Xenopus tropicalis: one gene and its partner. The protein of the gene in region 2 purifies or fractionates together with the protein of the main gene of each other region. This does not show direct contact. Links are inferred from orthologs where the notes say so. Each region holds a gene or a part of one and is shown on either strand. Other genes may lie near its edges.

Region 1 (4,627 bases), on a different chromosome or scaffold from region 2:
CATCATGTCACTGTAATGGTGTTCCCCCAGCCTGATACATACCACAAAGGTGTCATAGGAGAAACGATGCCTGCGATGAATGTGCTCTATGAAGTTGGCGCTCCTGTAACCTGGATCTCCCCATGGCATGGAGGCACAGATTGGGCAAACCTAATGGAACAAGAGAAAGATTAAGTCATGGTTAAGTTACAGCACCACCAGTTTTACTGTTAATCAAATGACAATTATCACTTATATGTTGGTAACTTAATGTGTTATATCCAAAGCATCGAACTGAGCAAATTGAATGCAAATACATATACCAAACTGCAGAGCTGTTGTTTGATACCCACAGTGCAACACAAAAATAGAGTGATAAAATTTGCCTAAAAAAAAAATATGGTCAATTTTTGTGCCTTTTAAATTTTGCCTAATTAAAAACCTAATATTTCATTTATTCTTTTGTTATGGGGAAGGCTATATGATGATGACGATGATTATTATTATCAAGCTATTTAGCCCCTCATCTATTTACTTTCTGTCATGTCATTCCAACCAAAGCCTGGTTACTGGGTATGCGATACCTTAGCAACTGGACAGAAACTAATACAATTGTATATGGTTTGAGTGGATAAAACAAGGGTACCCCGAGATGTTTTATTGAAATGTTACTGCTTTGCAAGGCTGAGCCACTTCCTCTGACAATATGGACACTGGAGGTTAGCTTGTCAAAGCCACTGCCACAAACAAACACAATTATGCCGATATATAATGTACAGTAAACAAATGACAGCTAAATCTTATTCCATACTTGGGTATAAACAATTTTTCTTAAGACAGAGCCAAACGCGAGTGTTCCAGTAGCAGCAATACAATAGTCCCGTCATCAACTCACCACAGGCGTTGGATCGCTCATGTGAAACCTCTTGCAGTGATCCACTAATCCTTCCTGAGCAAGGTTCTGTTCCTGGCAGTAGGGGCAAGTAAAGGTGAAGCGGTTTGGGACATCACTGTGGGAAGGAAGATGAAGTACAATCATTTAAATGCCTTAAGATCTACATATGGAGGATAAAAAGGACGTATTGGAAAAGGAATGTTCTGGTCACTACTGTGTGGAAAACATACTCACCCAGTTTCCTGGGAGTGGCTCTTTTTGACAGCCTTAATTCCATTCATGACATATTTATCATATTTGGTACAGGCAGCGAAGTGTTCACGCATTTTTGAAAGTTTCACCTGCAGGTTGCAAGGAACCTAGGTCATTTCCTATAATAATAATAACACACCAGACACACAAGTACTTCTGCTATGCTGTTACTTTCAGTACCCAGAGATCCCCCTCAATCCCACAGCTATTTTTGGTTACAGAAATCGCATCTATTACTCTTCAGCCTCTGTATCTGTATGGAAAGCAAGAATTTCAGTCATAAAGCAGGGCAGGCCTGCTGCTTACAATGGGTATCAGATAGGATCTGTGCCACTGTGACAGAATGCTCTGTTATACAGATAGCTAGAATCTCAGCCATAAAGCAGGGCAGGACTGCTGCTTACAATGGGTATCAGATAGGATCTGTGCCACTGTGACAGAATGCTCTGTTATACAGATAGCTAGAACCTCAGCCATAAAGCAGGGCAGGACTGCTGCTTACAATGGGGGGATCAGATAGGATCTGTGCCACTGTGACAGAATGCTCTGTTATACAGATAGCTAGAATCTCAGCCATAAAGCAGGGCAGGACTGCTGCTTACAATGGGTATCAGATAGGATCTGTGCCACTGTGACATAATGCTCTGTTATACAGATAGCTACAATCTCAGCCATAAAGCAGGACAGGACTACTGCTTACAATGGGGATCAGATAGGATCTGTGCCACTGTGACAGAATGCTCTGTTATACAGATAGCTACAATCTCAGCCATAAAGCAGGACAGGACTACTGCTTACAATGGGGATCAGATAGGATCTGTGCCACTGTGACAGAATGCTCTGTTATACAGATAGCTAGAATCTCAGCCATAAAGCAGGGCAGGACTGCTGCTTACAATGGGTATCAGATAGGATCTGTGCCACTGTGACATAATGCTCTGTTATACAGATAGCTACAATCTCAGCCATAAAGCAGGACAGGACTGCTGCTTACAATGGGTATCAGATAGGATCTGTGCCACTGTGACAGAATGCTCTGTTATACAGATAGCTAGAATCTCAGCCATAAAGTAGGGCATGACTGCTGCTTATAATGGGTATCAGATGGGATCTGTGCCACCGTGACAGAATGCCAACTGCCGGTGGAAAGGCATTTCAAAGCAGTTTGTCGCCCACGGTAGCAGAGATCTATCACGGGCGACTAACTAGCTCTGCCTCCGTCTAAGGGCAGAATAATTCAAGCACCGTGGTAAAGTCATATGTGTGAAAGCTTTTTGCCTTAAATATAAATGAAATCTTATAAGCAAGGAACAACATTTGTCTGTTTTAAGATGGAAAGTCCTATTTTTTTTTTTTTTAAATAATAAGCTCTAAGCTGGGCTTTCCCTATCGGAAAAAGGAAATTGCTAACTATTGTGGGGAAATCCAAGGCTCCTGAGCCCTTTCACGTTTTAATTCAATACTATGTAATCAGTCACAGGTGGTGCAGGGGAATTTAATACCGACACTGCTGCTAAACTTGGCTGATGTCAGAGCATATGGGCACACACAGAGTGAAACCACATCAACATCTCAGCCTTAACCCTTGGCTGTCACCCTAAGGTTCATCTATGTATAGTGAAACCACAGCCGCTCCTCCCACTCACTGACATGATATCTACAACAACACATTATTTTGACTTTATAGGCCTCACTCAATCATAAGTGCCAGTATTTTAAAAAGCCAGTATAACCTCAGACTTCCTTGATTAATGTGTACAGGGGAATATCTATAATAATTATATATTGTCTCAGATAATATATATTATACAGACTAACTAAGGATCCTGCTCCAGCTGAATTGTGCTTAGTACAGGGGAATCCCTATGCTGCCATAGTTTTATGGTATCTCTCTGTACAGGCTATGAGCAAACTTAGGGGGCTGTTCCTGCTGAATTGTGCTTAGTACAGGGGAATCCCTATGCTGCCATAGTTTTATGGTATCTCTCTGTACAGGCTATGAGCAAACTTAGGGGGCTGTTCCTGCTGAATTGTGCTTAGTACAGGGGAATACATATGCTGCTATAGTTTTATGGTATATCTCTGTACAGGCTATGAGCAAACTTATGGGCTGTTCCTGCTAAATTGTGCTTAGTACAGGGGAATACATTTGCTGCTATAGTTTTATGGTATATCTCTGTACAGGCTATGAGCAAACTTATGGGCTGTTCCTGCTGAATTGTGCTTAGTACAGGGGAATCCCTATGCTGCCATAGTTTTATGGTATCTCTCTGTACAGGCTATGAGCAAACTAAGGGGGCTGTTCCTGCTTAATTGTGCTTAGTACAGGGGAATACCTATGCTGCCATAGTTTTATGGTATCTCTCTGTACAGGCTATGAGCAAACTTAGGGGCTGTTCCTGCTAAATTGTGCTTAGTACAGGGGAATACATATGCTGCTATAGTTTTATGGTATATCTCTGTACAGGCTATGAGCAAACTTATGGGCTGTTCCTGCTGAATTGTGCTTAGTACAGGGGAATCCCTATGCTGCCATAGTTTTATGGTATCTCTCTGTACAGGCTATGAGCAAACTAAGGGGGCTGTTCCTGCTTAATTGTGCTTAGTACAGGGGAATCCCTATGCTGCCATAGTTTTATGGTATCTCTCTGTACAGGCTATGAGCAAACATGGGAGGCTGCTGTTCACTTACTTTTTTATTGCAGCCTTTGCATGATGCCTCAATCTTTTCCATTTGATTTGTCAGATCAAAAGCGTTGCTTTCAGGTTTCAGCTTTCTCCGGCACACGCCGCACATTAAGTTCTTATTATGTGTGCACTGATGCAGACATGATGTACAGAATCTGGAGGAACATGGCAAAAAGCGGAAGGCTGTGATCCTGATTTTCTAATAAACAGATTATCAAGATATAATGCTTAAACTTCCTCTAGAAAAAAAAGGCAAAACGATCACCTTTGCTCCTTAATTCCATCACCTCTGTGTCAAGTAAAAGCAATAAAGGAAGGTGAAAATGTGGATCCCATTGTAATATGAAAGTTTTCTCACAAACCTTCCATATCAGTTGATGAACTATAAATTGCCTATGGGTGCAAAGTGCTCCCGGGATAATACAAGGCTTCACAGCTTGTGTAATATATTTTAGGAAATGTGCCCTTTGCATCCATGGTCCTGGGGAGGGTAGTAATTTACCGTTTATCAAATCAGAGAAAAAAAGCCATACAGCCAATCAAAATTATTTAGATGAAATTTCCCTTTAACCCATTAAGTGCTGCCTAACTTTCAGCAAGTGAGATCCTGCACTGAATACCCTGTATTCTGGCACTCAATGTCAATATAATACTGCACACGTAGATACTACAATCTACAGACCATGAAGGGTTAATCATTACAGAAGTCCACTGCTGTTCATGCCCCAAATTTCCATTTATATCACTTTGTGTCTCAGGATGTGGGTATATATGTGGTCAGACAGCTGTTCCTCACTAGGCCAAGACACACTG
Region 2 (4,333 bases):
AGGGGGAGGGGAGGTCGGGGTCCCTAAAGTGACAGACCTGGTGGTCCCCAGGCTCCCCAGCCAACATTGTATATATAAACATATATATATAACAAGAACAAACAGAGCACACCCTATTGAGATTCAAATGCCCAGGGTGCTAGCAAAAAAAAAATATAAAGCAAGAGAATGAGCTGCACACACCAGGACTTGGCAAAAATATAATAAGTTTATTTAAGAAAAGAGATCCAACGTTTCGAGCACTAACTGTGCTCTTCCTCAGGGAAAAAACCCTGAGGAAGAGCACAGTTAGTGCTCGAAACGTTGGATCTCTTTTCTTAAATAAACTTATTATATTTTTGCCAAGTCCTGGTGCGTGCAGCTCATTCTCTTGCTATATATATATATATATATATAAATATATAGTCGCATTGCGTGTCAGTACTCTAAAGCAGTGCAATAAGTGGGTGCTAGGTCAAAATACTGTATGTAAATACCTATAAGAAGGACCAGCACACCAGGTCACATCAATATCTTCTTTTTATTCATGTATTGGATCACATGGTGAATTAAAAGAAGATATTTATGTGACCTGGTGTGCTGGTCATGTTTTTACGTTTTTTTTAAGAGGACCAGAAAATAATGGTGCAAAATTCGGGAAAATGTAAAATCAGGGAAGTTTACTATGTGTACAATGATGTAAAATACAGGAAAACTTAATATCAGGGGATGTAAAATTGAGGTTTCACTGTATATTAACACCTTAGATAATAGTATCTACATTTGTCTTCAGCTAAAAAAAAATGTTTGTTTTTTTTTTTTTTTTTTTTTGCAACAATTTTTTAAAAAATTTGGATCAGTTGCTAACATGACAGGCAGAGGGAATTAGTGATGGATCCAAAGGGTTCTTACAGCTGTGGTCCTCCTGTGCAGTTAGTTTTGTGGTGAATATCATTCCACGTTATGACATTGGGCCTCCCTGTAGTCATTGAAGTCCCAATGGTAAAGGTCAGACGTTGGTCAAAGGCTTTCTTAAATAGCGTTAGAACTTTGTTTCCCTCAGGGCAATCAGGCAAGTAAGCCACACGTGTTGTTCCCGGATACCTTACTCCAGGGTTGGGGTGCTCTGACTGCAGAAAAGAAATGATATATTGGTAAATTCATTCTATGCTGCTCACAGTCCGTCAGACAGAAAAGGGGATCTAATTTTTATATGGAATTATAGATTCCATCATGTGTTAGCATTATTCATTAACAGGACATAAAAAGAACCTATATTACCATATCTCCCGAACAATGTAGGTCTCTATAAAATATATTGCATAAGACAGCTCATATGTAAAACCCTGCTTCATCTAAATAAATCATTTTCATAAAAATATACTTTTTATCAGTATGTCCTATTGGGTAACCCTAAATAGAAAATTGCACCTTTAAGAATTAAGGGCCGCCTCCTGGGATCAAGCCAAGAGCACACATACATGTTTAGTTACATTAGCCAATTAATGGACAAAGATCTACTGGCCAGGGCCTCTCCCACCACTAGGCAAGGTGTTTTTTTTTTTTTGGTTCTGTGCTAGCTTTCTCTATACATTTACAGATAAAATTAACAATAGGGAGGCACAAAATGCTTATTGTGTGTGTGTGTATTTTTTTTTAAGGTACAGGTATGGGATCCGAATTATGGTAAGCCTGTCTCCCATAGACTCCATTTTAATAATTCAGATTTTTAAAATTGATTTCTTTTTTCTATTTAAAAATAAAACAGTGCTTTGTATTTGATCCCAACAATAATTAATCCTTACTGGATGCAAAAAATTCTATTGGGCTTATTTAATGTTTTATTGATTTTTAGTAGACTTAAGGTATGAAGATCCAAATTATGGAAAGAACCCTTATCCGGAATACCCTTGGTCCTGAGCATTCTGGATAATAGGTCCTATACCTGTACTTACTATCAACTTTGTATGTCAAAGTAATCCCCGGTCTGGCCAGTCCCACTTTTTCATCTGATTAATTAAGAATTCTACTACTTTATTATACATTCTGCTTCTGATGTACCCTGCATTGCTAAAAACTTAGACAATGAGTGAGGCGCAGCTCTCTGCGGTCCATTTCAGGAGCACAATAAGGCGAACCACAAGGAAGCGTGCGGTTAAAACATAGCTCTTTGTATAATTTTTTTGCACCTTGCCCCCTCCATTGTCAATGAGCTCTAAAATATGTTTGAACACATGATCAGTAGGTTGCCCACCCAAGTTTGAATTGCCCTGGTCTTTGGCCTCTGGCTGGCTCGTGTAACTCTATGGTTATTCATTGGCATGCAATATTCCATCTTAACTTAATGATTTGCCCTAGAAATCTAAGATGACAACTTACAAAGAAGGCACCAATTCTTAAAAGTGAAATTTTGGAAGCGCCTGAAAGAGAAATGATTACAAACAGCTCCAACAGAGTTATGGTCCCTTAAATGGTGCAATGAACAAACAGACATTTGGTGTGAGTTACTATTCCCAACTAATGAGAATGTTGCAACAAACTGTAAACATCCAGCCAGTAATTCTAGGCAGTGCCTTCATGAATGATTTTATTATGTGAAATTGGAACCAACACAAATTTCTCCTGAATGGTGATACCTACAGCTTGCGCAATTATGCCCATAAACATACGCTAAAGAGAGCACATATGTGTCAGTGTTCATGAGAATGACTGGAAAAGTTTTTTTTAACATCAGCATTCCAGCTAAAAGCAATTTCATGCTTGTGACTTTGTTTTCTGAAGATCTTGTCATTGATATAAATCTTTCTGGTACTGCCTGTGGTTGGGGGAATTCCCAGCTGTAAAGTAAATCAGGCCTAATACATTTTCCAGAACGTATGCTTTGTAAGTGAAGGGCAAGTAGGTAACAAATCTAAAAGAAACCTTCATTTTAAAAAAAAATCAGATGATTGTGGCTGGAATTCTGACACAAGCCTGTATAATTTTTTCTTACGGAATTAAAATGAACATTTTCAGCTTTGCCTCCATTTCATTGTTGAGAAGATTTGATGAATCGTGAAACCTTTAAACAATTACCACACTTATTCAAATCAGAACAGGTGTAGGCTGATAAGCAAAATGACAGTGCCTTTAGATGTTCTAAAACATTTTGCCTTTGTATTCAGCACTGGCCGCTCTCCTTAAAGTAATTTAATGCCTTTTTTGCTGTATATCTACTGTGTGAGTGGAGCCGGACTGTCCCTGCAGGCAGCTATTTCACACTAATCTTTTTCTTCGATTGCCTGAGTAGCAGACCGCAGGAACATCAGCCAATATACAGTGGTGTTGCAAAACAATGGTTCATACGCTGGCAATGAAGCACAACAAGATTTCTGACATACTAAATCCAGCACGGCCAGCAAAGACCCTGACATCCATTCTCATCTCTGCCGCAGACAAGTACAGGGGTATGTACGACATTCTGTGATTCAGTGAGACAAAGTCCCCCGTGTGTATTCCCTGATTACTTATTTGAAAATATGCTTGTTAGAGGTCAGCTTTGTTACTGCCACACCAAATTATCTCTAATGCTGTTGATTGATGGTTGATGAGCTGGTTTCCTTATTAGATGTCCCAGTGAGTTTAGTAAAGACCCTCAACATGATATACACAGATACAAACTCTAAATAATTAATTTCTCATGTTGCTGATTTATTCGTTAACATTTTCCAACTGCCTAGTGCTGCAATAAACATGTCTCATTTTATACTAGAAATACATGTAAGAACTGATGATATATATACTTTTGAGCAAGTAGGTTGATCAGTTTTACTTTGCAGTACAATGTGAGATGTCCTCTCAGGCTGATGAAAAATGCCTGTCCTATCATTTGGCATATCTATTTGGTTGGGAATGCTACAAACGTGTTCTATTATGAGCAACTGATATGCTACACTGGTGTACATACCAGAAGGGCAGGAGGTGTGTGTACATTCTAGGTAGGGGAGCAGGTGTAAGTTCTGCACCTAGGCCTGTGGTCACGTAGATACACAACAATATTCTAAGGTGCCTGCAAACAGCTGCTTGAATTAGTATTCTGTATTAATGGCAGCAATCAAAAGGCAATACGTGAAGACAGGACCACAGATTACCTAATGTTTTCTACATACTGAATGCATAACCCCTAGCTTTTGTGTTTGAATAGCTTGGGGATGTCCATAGGCCATCACAGATCTCTCATAAATATAGCACTGAAAACTGCAGACAGTACTGTATTCATGGAAAAGGTACAGAACTTTGCATCTTATACTGGAGCACAAAAGCCTGCAGGCTGCAACCCGCAGGTTAGTGTACCAGGCGCAAAAAGGTTTTGCCA

Evidence for each region. Proteins that work in one complex are often made in the same cells at the same time.
Region 1: the proteins of dtx3 (region 2) and rnf114 purify together in Homo sapiens (affinity purification with mass spectrometry; 3 studies listed by BioGRID and IntAct, counting the BioPlex papers as one, with this or other methods). This does not show direct contact. The link is inferred for Xenopus tropicalis from reciprocal best matches to the Homo sapiens genes DTX3 and RNF114.

What each region holds. Positions count from the first base shown.
Region 1 is NC_030686.2:36,177,865-36,182,491, reverse strand, and holds part of rnf114 (E3 ubiquitin-protein ligase RNF114), read right to left. Parts: intron 3,970-4,627; coding exon 3,819-3,969; intron 1,216-3,818; coding exon 1,109-1,215; intron 990-1,108; coding exon 875-989; intron 151-874; coding exon 43-150; intron 1-42. UniProt on the Homo sapiens protein: E3 ubiquitin-protein ligase that promotes the ubiquitination of various substrates. In turn, participates in the regulation of many biological processes including cell cycle, apoptosis, osteoclastogenesis as well as innate or adaptive immunity.
Region 2 is NC_030678.2:140,822,306-140,826,638, reverse strand, and holds part of dtx3 (probable E3 ubiquitin-protein ligase DTX3), read right to left. Parts: intron 1,110-4,333; coding exon 892-1,109; intron 1-891. UniProt on the Homo sapiens protein: Regulator of Notch signaling, a signaling pathway involved in cell-cell communications that regulates a broad spectrum of cell-fate determinations.